Linked DNA regions of Oryctolagus cuniculus. The protein of the gene in region 2 interacts with the protein of the main gene of each other region in a biochemical or structural test. Links are inferred from orthologs where the notes say so. Each region holds a gene or a part of one and is shown on either strand. Other genes may lie near its edges.

Region 1 (4,799 bases), on a different chromosome or scaffold from region 2:
CTGCTGCCCAAGCCCATGTAACCCTTGCTCAGCTTCCCCAGACGTGGCTCAGGGCTTTGACAGCAGGTTCACCCTGCAAACGTCAAAGCCCTGGGGGAGGGAGGTGGAGACAGAGAAGCTTATCTTCATCAGATGCAGCGGGACCTCTGCCCTGGATAAAGATGGCTCTGGGAGGAAGCTGTGTTTCACTCTGCTGTGCTCCATTTGATTGATGATTATTAAGCAATAAACAACCGTGGCTTGAGACACTGGCGGTGTTTGGCGATGAACTGGATCTGTTTTCCCAACAGGCCCTGCTCTTCCTTCTTTCCCTGAGTCCTTGGGCTGGAAGCGCTGCCGTGAGTGGTGGAATTTCTGACCAGAGAGGATGCTAAGCAGGTGCAGTGTCGAAGCATCAGCATTGGTGCACGGGATCATAAATGGGTCAGCCAAATGCAGGCTCCACTAATGGCCGGCCCACAGCCTCCACTCGTTAAAATGTAAATACAATCCCTATTATCCAGCATCACAATTAAAAGGTATTTGCAAAAAATCAAAGTGGTGGTCTGGATGATACACTCTCTCCAAGGTGGTTTATAGCTTCGAAAAGTTGTCTTTTTAAAAGTTTCTTGCAGGATTCGGCAATGAGCTCTCTTTCCTGGTGTCTTCACCTTGTGAAGTTGTTTTGTGAACTTAGTGAATCTGGCAAATAAAAACAATAATGAAATGCTGCGAGATGGTTGTTTGCTTTCTGTTTTAGTGTCTTCCAGGCAGACCTACTGAATATTCAGCGAGTGATTAGTTGGTACATTGCCACGTGTGTCCTTCGCATACCCATGCCAGCCACTCTTCCACAAGCACTCTCACTCGGTAATTTACAAATGTTCGGGCTGCACTCTGCACCTGCCACTATTGCAGTAATTAGCTTAGGATACAAAATGGTTTCTAAATTAAGGCTCTGGACTTGTAAAATCAAGAAAGCCTGGGAGCCGGTGAACTCGCAGGACAAATCTCCAGCGATCCCAGGTGGCGGGCACGCCTGAGGTCTGGAGCAGACGCCTCCACAACCCGTGGGCCACAAGTCCGTCAACGGCCGAGGGAGGGGGAGAGGGTCAGGGCCCCGAGGTTCAGGCTGCTCCTCTCTCTCCGGCCACCTGTGGGCAGCTTGAAGCTCTGGGGGCTGTGCCCGGGGGCGGGGGCTGGCGCTGCAGCCAGGTGCAACTGCGAACCGGCGCGGTTAGACGGGGAAGGGGGCTCCGGGAGGCTCAGAACCCCGATCCCGAAAAGGAGAAGCGGAGAGAGGAGGAGGAGGCCGGGCGAGCGGAGCGGAAGAAGAGGAGGAGAACGAGGAGGAAGGAGCGCCGGGAGGAGGAAGAGAGAGGGCAGCGAAGGGCCGGCCGGGCCCTCCCGGCTCCCTCGCGCGGGGCAGTCCTCCGCCGGCGGCCGCCGCCGTCTCGCCTGGGCTCCAGCGCCCCTGTCCCGCCCGCGCCGAGCAGCGCAGCCCCCGCGCGCGCGCGCCCCCGCTCCAGCCCGCGCGCGCCCGCGCCGCCGCTCCAGCCCGGGGAGCATGCGCAGTGGGCGGTGCCGCTCCGGGCCGCCTCGCCGCCGCGAGTAGGAAGCGCGAGCGCCGGGCGCCGGGCTGTCAGTGAGCGTGGGGCCAGCGAGCAAGCGAGCGAGCGAGCGAGAGAGAGCCAGCGAGCGGCTCCGGCTCCGCGCCGCGCCCGCTCGCCTCTCCCCGGCCGCCGCCGCCTCCAGCCCGCGCCCCGCGCCCGGGGTCGCCCCTCGCCCCGCCGCCCCTCCCCCGCCCGCCCCCGCCCACCCCGGCCCTCGCCGGCTGCCGCTCCCCGGCGGAGGCAAGAGGTGGTTGGGGGGGACCATGGCTGACGTTTTCCCGGCCAACGACTCCACGGCGTCTCAGGACGTGGCCAACCGCTTCGCCCGCAAAGGGGCGCTGAGGCAGAAGAACGTGCACGAGGTGAAAGACCACAAATTCATCGCGCGCTTCTTCAAGCAGCCCACCTTCTGCAGCCACTGCACCGACTTCATCTGGTAGGTGCGCGCCGGGCGCACGGGCGGCCGCCCTCGGGCAACTTGCAGAGCCGGCGGGAGTCCCAACTCTCGCCCGGGCCGGCTCGGCTCGCGCGCGCCGCTCTGCCGCGGGAGGGGGCCCGGGCCGGGGCCTCTCCCCTCGCCGGGGCGCACCCGGCCCGGCCGAGCCGGCCGCGGGCTGGCGGGAGGCAGAGGACCAGGGAGCCGGCGGCGGCGCGGAGTTCCCGGGCGCGCTCGGGGGCGTGTGTTTGTGCTGCCCTCGGCTGCCTGGCTCCCGGAGCCGGGCTCTGCTGGGCGCGCGGAGACTTTCTCTCCCTTGGGTGAGCCCGGGGTGGGGGAGAAACAGGAGAGCGAGCAAACTGTTGGAAGCTCGCGGTGGGGGGAGGGGGTCGAAGCGGAGCAGGCGAGTGGCAGGAGGGCAGAGGGAGTCTTTTTTTTTTTTTTTTTTTAAATAGACCCTGTCAACACGAGATTAGACCTGTAGCCCGGCGGAGGAGGACAGAGGCCTTGTTTAAGAAAAATACCCCGATGGCTAAAGGTGCCGGAGTGAGGTGACTTCCAAGAAACGCAGCCGCTGCTCGTTTGGGGCACCTGCGGGATCCATAGCTGGAAAGGGCACCATTGGTCTCAGGTCCTCGGCCTCCCCACCCCCGGGAAGTTCAGGGAGCGCGAGGTGAAGGGCCCGTCTTCCCCGGGTCCTACCCTCGGGGTCGCAGTGGTTGGTTCTGCCTCAGGACACCGGTGGGCAGTTCCAGGGCTGCGGCTGGGGTTCCCTAGTCCCCCCGCCCCCAGGTGCCCAGGGCGTGCCCTGGCACCAGCCAGCTCCCCTCCCAGGCACGCGTGTCCTGGGGGCTCCGGGGTGGGCGTTGCCTGGTTGGCTGCGTCTGACCCCATCACACCTGGGGGAAAAGGTGCTAACAGGCGAGCTCTCTGAAAGTGCTGCTAATGGGGTGTTTAGGCTTGACCTTTGCCTTTTCAGAAATCCGCTTAAAAATACAGGCTTTTTGGAAAAGTACAGCACCTCTATGAATGGTTTCCACCGAGTAGTCCGCATATGGAGGAGTTGAGCTCACAGGAGTAGGGAATCCTAGATAAGGCTGCTTAAAATAAGTTTCTGGAGCGCCCGGGCGCGTCTGCCCAGGCGGAGGGCTGCTGCCTGCAGGGTCAGCTGTGAGGTTGCGTAAAAGAGAAGGGACTGCCGGCGATTCCTTTTGCCCGAAGTGGGTAACTTGGAAGAGGGACGGTGGGGCTGGCAGGCTGACTAGTCTTTGCGCTGTGCTGCCCCGAAGGCTGGAGCGGATGCGGCACCGAGGTCTCCGGGTGTAGTGTGCCCTGGACAGGAAAGGGCTCCTCTCTGCCCGCCCTGGGTGCACCTGGCAGCGTCCACACCTAACAGGCAGCCCCGGGGAATACCAGGGAAAGGTTGGTTCTTGATTTTCAGTTTTCTTCCAGTATTGCTTCGGTGGGTCCTTGATTTTACTTCAGTATTACAGCACTGATATTTTAAGGCTAGATATTTGGATTTATGTGCAGTTTTCTTTTTTTTTTTGGGGGGGGGGGAAGAACTCCTAAGTTAAGTATGAAGGTATGTGAAGTGTTGTATACATTTCAAATGTTATGTAAAGCAAGAGATTACAACCGAGGACCTCCTGAGAATTTCAGTGCAGTTCGTTCCTAGGGGAACAATGTTTGCAACTGAGGAGTTTGTCCTTGCAGGGTAAATTGTTAAAAATTAGATCATGATAATCTGAGATGCAAACAGTAGGGATAATATTTCATAAAATCTGGTTCCACCAGCCAAAATTAAATGTTAAAAGTGGTGCTGTTGGTTAAAATATCATGTGTCTAGCGCTAGCCAAACTCCCATAAGCCACTCTTTAACTCTCTATAGGGAGAAAAACAATTCTCTGTTGGTCCCTAGGAACAAAATTCAGCCACTTCCTTTTCCGCTCTGTCTATAACCTCCTCTTGGTTACTTGATTATCCCTGTCATGTTCTTGTCTTGAAATTTAAGTGTCAGTAACAGAGTGAAAAGAACTGGAAAGAGGCTTGATGTGATGAGATGTTTCTTGGATCCCTTCTAGGTGAGAGAGACTTTTTTCCAAGTTGAATTTGTACCGTGATCTCGCCAGGTACTTGGACATGTCATTCCTAGCAGCTCCCCAGATAGGAGGTCCAAACCTTTAACTCTGTAGAACATTTTGTCCTATAGCTTGTTTAAAATGTGCTATGCCACACAGACTCTGTTAAGCTGTTTTATTCTTGTTTCTGTTTTTCAGGGGGTTTGGGAAGCAAGGCTTCCAGTGCCAAGGTAAGCTGTCTCACTGGATTTTATTTTCAAGTACAACATGAAGTAAGCACTGCAGACACGAAATGTGTTCCCGGCCATCCTTTGTGATGTAAAAAATAAATAAATAAATAAAATAACCTCTTGAAACACAAGGGCCCCAAGTTTGGGCCTTTTCTAAAAGTCAACCAGTATTGTCTAGTAATGGATATGGAGAGCTGCCTTTTACTCATTTTGAAAAATTCCTGTGATTTTATTTTTGCTGAGAACATTCTTGTCAGAAACTGCCGTCTTTGTGTGGGCGTTGAGGGGAAAAAAAGGAATCACTTTGTATTCATGTGACTTTTTTTTCTTGTTCCTCCTCTTTGTACTGTATCCCTTTTACCTCTGTGTTGGATTGGACTCACTGCACCTAATTTTGGGCCACACGTTACTCTAGTAAGGTTCTTGTGTTTTGTTTCCAGAGCAGAATTTGCGTGTCTCA
Region 2 (4,752 bases):
ACATTTGCTGACACTTGCTCTTGTGGGTATATCTCTTCTGATTACAGTAAAACGGGCCTTGGGGCCGGCGCTGTGACATAGTGGGTAAAACCACCGCTGCCTGCGGTGCTAGCATCCCATATAGGCAACAGTTCAAGACCTGGCTGCTCCACTTCCGATCCAGGTCTCTGCTGTGGCCTGGGAAAGCAGTGGAAGATGGCCCAAGTCCTTGGGCCCCTGCACCCATGTGGGAGGCCGGGAGGAAGCTCCTGGCTCCTGGCTTCGGATAGGCGCAGCTCCAGCCATTGTGCCCAACTGGGGAGTGAACCAACGGATGGAAGACCTCTCTCTCTCCTTTCTCTGTGTAACTCTTTCAAATAAATAAATAAATAAATAAATCTTTAAAAAGAAAAAAGAAAAATGGGCATTGACCCTTTGCAAGACTTCCTAGTCTATTGCTTTGCAGGCATAATAACCCCAGAATGTTCCTCAGCGTGTACTACTGTGTTTTTCTTTCGCCTGTATAGAGGTTTAAAGTTCTTCCATCTGTGAACCTCCTGTTCTGAACCAAGTCATGTTGAGGCAGGAAAAAAGCAAAAGAGGAGGCTGGAACGGGCGTCTTCAAGACGATCAGAGGGCCCCACTACTGGGTGGCAGGGCTGTCAATCTGTTCGTTACTCAGCGATGCTGAACCCCCAGACCGCTTATCTCTCCGGCCCCAGCTTACAGCCCGGTAGGAAATGGTGGAGAACGAGGGAGGGAGATTAGGACAAACTGGCCTCCTGCGGGGGCTATTTAGATTCAGGGTGCAAGTTGTGGGGGGTGGGGAGCGGACACAGGGACAACTCCCCCTACCTGCTAGGCACACACAGCTTGGGGGCAAGGTTACCCGCTGCAGGGGACAGAAAGGGCGAGCAGCCGCCTCCGAGTACCCCAAGCGCTATGATTATCACATTTTCCAGATGAGGAAATTGAGCAGAGCTGTTTCAGCAACTTGTTCAAGGTCACATGGGTAAGCCCGTAACCTCAGCTGGCTTATCTACAAAACAGCCTTAACAATGGGAACTACCTCCTAAAACTGTTTTGACAATGCCTTTCGCCATCACATTAATGAACGTTACTGTTACTTCCACTAAGACCGCTTCCACGCCAGGGCCCATTTTGCGGCAGAATATTAATAGCTAACATTCGGTGTTTCCTGTGTGCCACCGCGAGAACATTAACTTAGAAAGGCCTGACAACATTTATCACTCCCGTTGTGGCTACCAACTTCGCCCTCAGCCCATACACTAGCCCGCCTGTGCTACGTCATCACCGCGCGCCGCGCAGCAAACCGCGGGAAGACGGCAAAACACGCTTCCTTCCTAACTCCCTCGTTTTCTCGCTTGCTCTCCGAATCACCGCGCCGCACAGTTGGCGCCGGTCCGGAGGGTTCGTAAAGTGACTGGACAGAAACAGAGGGGACAGTGACCATAGCAGCCAGGGGCATGCACGGTGGGAGGGGCTTCGACGCGGGGAGGGACAAGGGTGAGCCAGAGCACCGCCTCAGAGCGCTGGCGCGCACTTTATACGCGCACAAACGGCTTGCGTTGCGTTCTGACGCGCCGGCCTGAAGTCACGTTGGCCCTCGCGAGGCGTGCGGCCCTGAGGCACCATCCCCGCTGTGGGCGGGACGTGGGCGGGCAGTAAGAGGGGGCAGGCCCAATGGAAACGAAAAGTTCCGGCACCCGCGGCCCCACAGGTCGTCGAGAAGTTGGCGGCGGCCGCAGAGGGCGGAGTTTGAGTAGTGGGCCGCGCCTAGAGAGCGGCTCTGGAAGAATTGGCCGGCATCGACAGCAAGGGCGGGAAGTAGGCGGAGGCCGGCGGGAGGCGGCTCGGGACTGGCTGAGGGGTTTTGGCGAAACGTTAGGGGTAGGGTTTAGGCGGGGGGGAAAGGAAGCGGCGGTGAGGAGCCGGGGTTTGTGGAAACGCTAGGGGCGTGATCTGGCGGAGGGGAAGGTACCGGGGCCGGCCCGAGGAGGGGTGGAGCCAAGTAATCGTTAAGGGTGGAGTCGAGGCCGGGGCTGGGTCTGGCTGAGAGAAAGGGTGGGTGATTATCCCGGGTGATAGGCCGGGAAAGGCAGGTTTGTGGAGGGCCGGGATCTGGGCGAGGCTTAGAGGAATGAAAGGGTTTAAGGGAGTGAGGCTTGGTAGAGTGAAAGGGGCGGTGATTGGCTAGGAAGGGCAGGCCTTAGCTCGAACTGATCCGAGGGGGTTCTAGGCTCAGTGAAACGACAAGACTGAGGAAAAGAAGAGTCGTGGAAAGGGGGCGGATCTGGTGGCACGGGCGGCACCCGGCGGTATAGACACCTCAGTGGCGGCAGAGGGCCTGGAGAGAGGCAGAGTTGAGAAGGCGGCGGGGAAGGAGATATTGTAAGGGAGCCGAGGCTAGGGGGCGGGGTCCTCAGGACACTCCGGCAGCCTCGCAGCCACGATCCCCACCCCCTCTCCCCTCCCAGAACCGCACCAGGGCCGAAATCTCCCCCACCATGTCCTCCACTGGCCCGGAGTCCACCACAGCCAGGTCCCGAAGGAGTAGGCACAACCCCCAGTCGTCCCCTCACGACTCCAGCGGCACCCCGGTGAGGCCCCAGACCTGCCCTGATGAGAGGGAGAGGGGGAGGGAGCAGCCATCCGTACGCTGGACTCTGACCCTTCTCTCTGATTGGCAGAAACGAAGTGTTAAGAAGGGCGCTTTACCTCGCTGCAGTCCCAACCTGCTAGAGATAAAGAAGAAAGGCAAAATGAAGAAGCTCAGCCAAGCAGCTGAAGAATACCTAATCACGGGGCTGCAAGAGCTGGTGAGAGGGGCCTGGCCGCGATTTAGCCTCCTGTGACAGTCTAAACCCCAAGGTTCCCCACCCTGGACAGCATGGGATATTCCCTCTGACTCAGGCCCCCAGATAGATCTGTGTCTCCCTCCCTCCTCTTTCCCCCCCGCTGCAGGATCTGGACTCTGAGGCCAAGACGCCGGCTGGCACTGGTTTGGTGTTCGATGATCAGCTCAATGAATTCCACTGCCTCTGGGATGACAGGTGAGGCGGGGTCCTCCAGGCAGTGCCCAAACAGGGGCAGATACACACACTTCGAGCCCCTTAGCAAGAACTAAGGCTTCTTTACACCAGCCTGGAGACTGGTAGCAGATGACTTAGGGAGGCAAGGCTCACGGGCGAAAGGGTTCTCTTTTAACCACCAGACATTTATGGAGTGCCTATTGTGTGCCTAGAGTTGACGAGAGAAATGTACCAAACAAGACAGGCAGGGGCCTTTCTCAGGAAGCTGATCAGTAAGTAGGAGGGTCAACCGTTAAGCTGCCAACAGTGGCTTGTGCGTTGTTTAATGAAGATGGACTTAAGACTAGGGGATCCAAGAGGGTTGGGTAGAGGACCCTAGACTAGCAAGAAGCCATCCTTGAGGAAGGGGCGTTTGTGCGAAACTGAAGAATCACACATCCTATTTACCCTGTGTTTCAAAAGGATCAACAACTTTTGACTTTGTGTCTGAGATATATTTAGTATTTGACCTCCCCTCACTACTTCCACTGATATCACCCACCTAGACTTGCAGAGTCCTCCTCATTGGTCCCCTGCTGCCAGCCTCATGCCTCATGTTCACACAGAAGCCTAAAAACATATGCATGCGTTGATGTTCTCTTTCTAAAAATACTTCAAGGACAGACCATTGCCCTCAAAGTAAAGTCCAAATTCTTCACTCTGGCCTCTGAAGTTGCATGTGACCCAGCTGCACATTACTTTTGCGACCTCATCAGCCAGTCCTCCCCCTCATTTGTTTCCCTTCAACATCACTCACACCAGTTCTCTCACAGCTCTTTCCAACATGCTAGGTACCCTCTGGCCTTGAATTTTGACTCTGGCTGAGCCCAGTTCTCCTCTCCCAGCCAGCTATCATATCTTAAGGAGACTTTCTTAAAGAAGGTTCTGCCTGCATGCTGCCCTGCCTCCCCCGCCCCCCATCTTAGATGTTTTCCTAGCCCGTGACATTGTTTGTTAATTATTATACTTAGGTGTTAACCAGATTAGTATCTATCTCCCCTGGCCCAACCTAACACTAATTCATGAGGGTGAAAGACTTTGTTAAGGGATATATATTTACCATCTGTTGAGCTAGAGATATAGCAGCAAACAAAACAAAAAAATCCTGCCTTCATGGGGGACCAGAGAAGAGAGTCAACGTATAAACCGAAGTGATTTCTGCCTAGTTTATTGTCCAGTTAACTTGAATGATCTTTTAAAAGTTGGCATTGTAAAAAAAACAACTTCCAAAAAGCTTTCTGACATAGAATTGAGACAATATTATCTTTATTCATGAGTTGGAAAGGAAAGAGGCTACGTGAAATAAATGTTCTGAGTGGGGCCATTAGGATGTCTTGCAGCTACGTGGTCAGTCAGTGCCACTGATATTGATCAGCCTGCATGTAGCAGGGCTCCCTTAATTGGATCTGAGGACTTGATCTTATTTTTAATCCTCTCAGCTTTCAATATATTGCCTAGAAGACTCAGTTACTACATGGTATGTGGTTGTTTAGGGGGAGAAATATAACTAGACAATTTGTCGGCTTTTCAGTTAAAAAAGACACAATTCATATGTTATGTCATCTTTTTATAATCACTGTTCCCATGTGCGGAACACTCTTCACTCTACTTGTGTGTCAAAAGAACCTTTAACATTAAAATAGATGACAAAACTCAGAAAACATCCATTATGAATTTGAAA

The links. The genes of interacting proteins can lie anywhere in the genome.
Region 1: the proteins of HDAC6 (region 2) and PRKCA form a complex in vitro, tested with the Homo sapiens proteins (2 studies listed by BioGRID, with this or other methods). The link is inferred for Oryctolagus cuniculus from reciprocal best matches to the Homo sapiens genes HDAC6 and PRKCA.

The regions. Positions count from the first base shown.
Region 1 is NC_091448.1:12,520,627-12,525,425, forward strand, and holds the start of PRKCA (protein kinase C alpha type), read left to right. Parts: upstream 1-1,625; 5' UTR 1,626-1,855; coding exon 1,856-2,028; intron 2,029-4,307; coding exon 4,308-4,339; intron 4,340-4,799. UniProt on the Homo sapiens protein: Calcium-activated, phospholipid- and diacylglycerol (DAG)-dependent serine/threonine-protein kinase that is involved in positive and negative regulation of cell proliferation, apoptosis, differentiation, migration and adhesion, tumorigenesis, cardiac hypertrophy, angiogenesis, platelet function and inflammation, by directly phosphorylating targets such as RAF1, BCL2, CSPG4, TNNT2/CTNT, or activating signaling cascade involving MAPK1/3 (ERK1/2) and RAP1GAP.
Region 2 is NC_091453.1:33,986,153-33,990,904, forward strand, and holds the start of HDAC6 (histone deacetylase 6), read left to right. Parts: upstream 1-1,615; 5' UTR 1,616-1,683; coding exon 1,684-1,827; intron 1,828-1,849; exon of another isoform or gene 1,850-1,977; intron 1,978-1,989; exon of another isoform or gene 1,990-2,102; intron 2,103-2,179; exon of another isoform or gene 2,180-2,391; intron 2,392-2,477; coding exon 2,478-2,600; intron 2,601-2,690; coding exon 2,691-2,819; intron 2,820-2,964; coding exon 2,965-3,053; intron 3,054-4,752.